Linked DNA regions of Tribolium castaneum. The main gene of each other region encodes a partner of the protein of the gene in region 2 in a complex. Links are inferred from orthologs where the notes say so. Each region holds a gene or a part of one and is shown on either strand. Other genes may lie near its edges.

What was found. The genes of interacting proteins can lie anywhere in the genome.
Region 1: the proteins of sw (region 2) and robl are in contact, whole or in part, in a crystal structure (PDB 3L9K), measured with the Drosophila melanogaster proteins. The link is inferred for Tribolium castaneum from reciprocal best matches to the Drosophila melanogaster genes sw and robl. Residues at the interface, in NP_477075.2 of Drosophila melanogaster: Leu242, Lys247, Ile250, Ile251, Leu252, Asn255, Phe256, Gln257, Phe259, Val260, Val261, Arg262, Ala263, Gly264, Val266, Ile267, Glu268, Ala270, Leu271, Ser272, Glu273, Asn274, Val275, Asp276, Ile277; in NP_523771.1 of Drosophila melanogaster: Glu4, Val5, Glu6, Thr8, Leu9, Arg11, Ile12, His15, Lys16, Val18, Val23, Ile29, Pro30, Val31, Phe69, Arg71, Arg73, Glu78, Met80, Ala82, Asp84, Asp86, Phe87, Ile88, Leu89, Val91, Gln93, Asn94, Pro95, Thr96.

What each region holds. Positions count from the first base shown.
Region 1 is NC_087396.1:13,483,652-13,485,935, reverse strand, and holds robl (dynein light chain roadblock-type 2), read left to right. Parts: upstream 1-1,048; 5' UTR 1,049-1,193; coding exon 1,194-1,196; intron 1,197-1,248; coding exon 1,249-1,327; intron 1,328-1,377; coding exon 1,378-1,589; 3' UTR 1,590-1,697; downstream 1,698-2,284. Other genes in the region: Ski6 (exosome complex component RRP41), read right to left, coding at 17-598, 647-820; ND-B12 (NADH dehydrogenase [ubiquinone] 1 beta subcomplex subunit 3), read left to right, coding at 1,956-2,270.
Region 2 is NC_087400.1:4,950,628-4,954,390, forward strand, and holds the start of sw (cytoplasmic dynein 1 intermediate chain), read right to left. Parts: upstream 2,317-3,763; 5' UTR 1,950-2,316; intron 1,784-1,949; 5' UTR 1,774-1,783; coding exon 1,478-1,773; intron 1-1,477. UniProt on the Drosophila melanogaster protein: Acts as one of several non-catalytic accessory components of the cytoplasmic dynein 1 complex that are thought to be involved in linking dynein to cargos and to adapter proteins that regulate dynein function.

The sequences.
Region 1 (2,284 bases), on a different chromosome or scaffold from region 2:
TCTATACATGCTCTCCTCACGTTGTGCTTGCCCAACCTGTCGAACTACCAACATCCTGAATGTGACTCTTGACTGCCTCATCCAAAATACTTTTAATGTCTTTACACCCTTGTAAAGCCTTGTCTAAAACCTTCTGTAAGTGGTCCACATGAAACCTCTGTGACATTTCCATCAAGACAATCTTCCCCGACATTGGTAACGCTGCCACTGTCAACGTGGGCCCCCCTATTATCTCTTCCTGGTGCGAAACATCAAGTAGCGGCACATCATTATTTGCCAAACTTGCAGTACACGCACAGACATATTCCTTTAACGGAATCCCCGCATCAATCAGTGCCAAAGTGGCGGCGTTCACACAAGCCGGATAAATGCCCCCATCTGCATGCAGCACCTCAACATAAACATCAATCTGGGTCCAGGGATACAACTCGACTTTGATCGCCGCAGTTAAAGCCTGCCTCAAGTGAATGGAGATTTCAGTCGACTTGCGGTCCCCCCGGGGCCGCTTCTTCCTCTCCCCTGTTGAAAACACAGCCATGCTAAACTGGCAGTTGACCACAGCCGAGTCATGTTGCGCTTTGCTGCGACTGCCGCGGACCTAAAGTTCAGCATGAAATTTTATCATAATTAAAGACGCAAAACCAACCTGGTGGGGCCCATACACAGCCGCCAGAACTTTAGTCAAGCCCTGCTCCAAATAGGCGCTACCGTCGGGTTCAGTGAACACGCCCAGCTTGCAGCGGATCCTCCGTAACTCGTCGGCGCGTCTTCCGTCCTGTCTTAAGCCGATTTTTGATAATAATTCGCGATTTTTGCTCATTCTGATGTTTAAAAGTGAGGTTAAAAAATTATTTAAATGTAACGTTGGCGATCCTGACCTCGGAAAAGGCGAGATTATGGGCAGTTGAGAATGTCGGCTTTCGAGAATTTTTTAAGAATAACTCCTGCCGATAACTAAATTTCTTTCGAAATTGTTAAAAAATGATTCCATATTTGTGTTGTTTGATTGAAGGAGTCAAACTACCAAGGTTGGCAATTTTAAGGATATTTACCTGTGCATCAAAAAATTAAATTTAATAATGGAATGTTGGCGACAGTGGTCACGTGGGGCTGTTGTCATGTTAACAGTTATTTGATAGCTGTCACTTTTGTGCAAAAAATTCCAATAAATAATTTAGCCAAATAAATACAAAATGGTAAGTACAATGCAAATTGTAGAAGAATACGGGTTTAGAGTTATGTTTGCAGTCGAACGAAGTGGAGGAAACGATGAAACGGATCCAATCCCACAAGGGCGTAATCGGTACAATAGTGGTCAATTCCGAAGGTGATAAGCTCATAGTTTGGCTGTGAGGGCCTTAGAAACTTGAATTTTAGGGATTCCGATTAAAACCACCTTGGATAATACTACAACAGTCCAATACGCTGGACTTATAAGTTCGTTGGCTGATAAAGCAAGGAGTGTGGTTAGAGATTTAGACCCTTCAAACGATTTAACGTTTTTACGGATAAGGTCAAAGAAACACGAAATTATGGTGGCTCCTGATAAAGAATTTATATTGATTGTCGTTCAAAGTCCCACAGATTAGTGTTATTGCCTGTTTTGTGTCATTATGCACTGCTAATTTATTGTACGTTTCGTGCTTTTTGTCGTTTAAATTTTTATATGCTTATTCACAAATAAACTCTAACTCAAATGTTTGAAATTTATTTAATCTTGCGCCCCAGAATGATTCACAAATTTAGAAACTTTCTTGTTCCGCTATTGGCGACATTGCGCGATTTACTAGTGACATTTTTATTATCGTAGCAATTTTTTTATAAACACTAGTGGTTATTCTTTACGAAACCTACATTAATTATCAGTCCCTTCCAATTACATAATATTTCCACAAGAGGTTGTTTCAGGATTTTGAAAAAATTGTTGCATAATAAAGTGAGGTTATATTGTAGAGATGGGGGGACACGGCCATGGGCACGGACACGAACCTTACACAATCCCTGATTACAAAATCTACAAAGTTGAGGATATTCCCGAATTAATGAACACCAAAAGGGCGTTAGCTTGTCAAGGTCTGAAGGACCCTTGGCTTCGCAACGAAGTCTGGCGCTACAACCCTAAGGAATTTGGCACGGAAAAATCTAGATTTCGACTTTTCTTCTATAGAGGGTTCAGAACCGGCTTTGCCGCCTTCCTTATAACCATTGCTGGTACTGCCATTTACGACAAAATGTACCCCTCTGAGCACGGCCACCACGGCGATCATTAAAACACAGTTGTGCT
Region 2 (3,763 bases):
CGAAAATATGCCTAGAATTCGTCAAAAAAAAATTAACAACAAATAGACAAACTTTAAAAAGCACAATTTTTGGGAAACGAATAGGTGTTTTTTTATTTAGAGAAATCGCTATTTGTTTGAAGAGTAATCCAAGAATCATTATGCGATGTTATCAGTCATTGATTAGAGAAGGTTCAGGACAAAGCAAAAGAGAAAACAGACTTAAAAAAACAAATGAAGTCCAAAGTGGTCATCTTCGGATTATGGCAATAATTCAAGTACAAGAAAAATTTCTGACCAATGGTTGAGTTTGAAGGTCGTTGTACTTCACTTCTGAGTGTTTACCATCGAATTAGGTCATTTGGACTACTTTTTGTTGGATTTTCTAAGTATGGGAGGAATGAGCAAAATCAGCTTAAACCAGACACACCAAAACTTTTTTTTGGAAAGACAACGTGTTTCAACCACAAAGTGGTCATCCTCAGGTGAAAATATACACTATATGCATTGACCGCATTATGGTCAAAACGCGTTGTGTTTCGAAATAAAAGTTTCATGAGTCAGGCTTAGATATAGGTTTTTGCCCATTCCTCCCATACCAAGTAAATCCAACAGGAAACAGTCCAAATGACCCATTTCGATGGTAAACAGTCCAAAGTGATAAAAAACGACCTTTAAACCCACCCATTGGGCAAAATTTTGTCTTGTAATTAAATTATAGCCATGACCATTTTGGACTTCATTTGTTTTTTTTAAGGTTGCTTTCTCTTTTGCGCTGTCCTGGGCTTTCTACAGTCTATGACTGATAACACTGCTTAATGATACTTCGATTTCTATCCAAAAGACTAGCAATTTCTCTAATTGAAAAACCCCTATTTGAAGTCCAAAAATCATGCCTCCTTCAAAACTGCTTAAATTGTTAGTAATTTTGGTTTTGTCGTCTCCAGGCCTACTTGCGCTTTTAGAACACTTAAACCTAAACGAATTTAAAAAAAAACACAAAAAAAATCGTCAGAAAAGCATAAAATTCTAAGAATAACACTTGCTGGTAAAAGAACTTCAATATTAAAAACTCCCTTACCACTTGATTAAAATCGTTCAAATTTATTACTCGCTAATTCTAATTCCTTCCTGGTGCTGCAATTTTTATGATTTTTTTATTTTTATGAAAATAGTTGGGTGAAATGAAATCAAATTTAAGGTAAAGACATTGACTTATCTGAAACAAATCAGCATTTACAATATTTTTGTGTCATATACTTATATCATAAACAATTGTTTCGGTCAAGAATTTTTTATTTAGAGTTGCCAACTTAATTTAAAAGTCACAGGCCACCTTAATCAGAAAGTTAATTTATTGAGCGCATGAAAGTTCTTTACCACGTCTCAGATTAAATACTAATAAATAAAAAAAAATATTATACGGTCCTGCTTTGTTTATCTTTTTTCTGGTATCTTTCGTTCGAAAGTTTTTTTTTTTTTTTTTTGTAAAACCTACTTGTTGGGTGAACTGTGGGGCAGGAGGGACGTGTCCGGGGTGTGATTGTGGCTGTGGTCGGGCGTGAGCGAGTTCGCGCTCGAAATACTCGACAAAATATCCGAAACGGGGGCAACCCCCAACGAGCTGAGCATTTCATCCAACTCCTTCCTGTCTCCTTCCGTCCCCAAAATCACCCTGTTGGCCGCCTCCTCCACATCCTTGAGTTCCTTCTCCCGGCGCCGGCGGTCCTTCTCCTCCCTCAGCGCCTGGAGCCGGGCCTTCTTCCTCTCCAGTTCGGCTTTGCGGTCCGACATGGCTTAAATCCTGGAAAAAACGGACTGTCACAGCGCCAAATCGCCGGCTCGCGATCGAAAAACCCCCGAGATGAAAGGTCAAGAAGGTTTAGGTCGCGTTCTTGGCGATGGGAGTGGATAAACGGATTCGCCGTACTTGGACAGCCCCTTTTGTGGCAAGTGCCAACAACACTTACCTATGAATGTACAAATTACACGAGACGACAAATTGCACTTAATTTACGTGGAATTAATGAGTTTTTCGAACGACTTTTTACGTTTCCTTTGGATTTAATTTACAACGCCCGACCGATACAACCACCATTTCATTTTTGTGATGACGTAATGTGGCGAGTCATCAGGGATTTCTCCGCGAGATTTCGGGATATATTGACTGGAGTTCGCTGATTTTACGGGGGAATCACAATTCCTGGGAGGGAATAACGTGATTGATCGATTACAGAAACCGGTTCGGCGGATTTTTAACGAAAAAACCGCGATTTTCCTCAATTTGATGACATTTTGTCACACTTTTTGGTCGCTAGGTTGGTACGACAACTGGAGAGGGAACGTCAATTTAACGGGGCTAGCACGCACGCCTATGGAAATTCATTCCATTGGAGGGCCACTTTGGGCGCCCCCAGTTACCTTATTTAAAATCATTTCAGTTTTTTTATCAGAAGCAAGTGATAAATTATTAGGCTGGTGTCAAAGCTAGTTTTTTTAAGTGTACTGGTTGGCAGTGCTCATTCACTGACACAGTCACTGTCCACTTATAAATTTTTGAGATAGTTTTAACAAAATTTTGCAAAAACAGAGTCTTTTAAATCAGAACTGTACTTAACCGCTCAAAAAATGCAAAAGTAACGTAGTTTTTCTTCCATCAAACTACCAGTTTGAACAAAATAAAAAAAAAAAAATTTGAGTATTTTTGTCAGAAAACATTGCTGAATAACGTGGCCAAACCTTGAACAATAAAAACAAAAATAACTTTTTTTAACTAAATTTTGGCACAAAAAAATGAGTTTTTTAAGTAAAAAATGTATTTAGATATTCGAAAAAATGCAAAAATAACGTCATTTTTGACCTAAATAGATGATTTTTCGAGCATCACTTTGAATATAATATATATAATATATATAATATAATATAATCAGCAAATTTTTAATAAAAAAAGTGTGTCTAACAAAAAGATGTACCTTAACGTTTGAAAAAATTACATGGCTTCTTCCTTCATTAAAGTCGTGACTAAAAATTAATTTTTAACTCAAAATCATTATTAAAAAGCAAAATAAAAAAAACATTTTTACTTTTACATTTTTCGGTTCAAGAAATCCTGCGATTTTGTATCTCGTTTCATCTCCTAACTTATGGTTCTCCGTAATCATCTCTTAAAAATTAATTAATCTTATTTATTTCCATACAATCAATACTATTACAATACGATTGAATTATTTATAATGTGGTGAGTCATTGATTTAAATTATAAAATAACGACAGCTTCTACCAACCGTAAAAAGTAAAATTGACTTCAAATCAATATTCTCAGCTTCAAATTTCTCACATATTTGAACAATCACGACGTTTTGTAGCAACTGGGCTTTTTTATTGGATTGAAACAGCACATAAGGGCTCATTCACTTGTGCATAGAATTCATTTCAATCCGATAAAAAATTGCCAGTCACTCGAGCGCCCTCTATCCCAATTCTCACAAACGTTAAATATAAGCCACAGAATGTCAGACGAAGTAACTTTTGACTACGTTAGAAGCCTAAAAGACAACAGACAGGTTCTTCTAATTGATGTGAGGAACCCGTCGGAATTAGCGCAAACTGGAACAATTCCTGGAAGCATCAATATACCTTGTAAATACCCTAATTAACTTATGAATTAACTGCAAAGTACTTCATTTCAAGTGGCCACTTTAGAAGAAACGCTGCAGAACACAAGTGATGAACAATTTCGTCAAGTTTTCCGAAGAGAAAAGCCTACAAACACCACGCCTTTAGT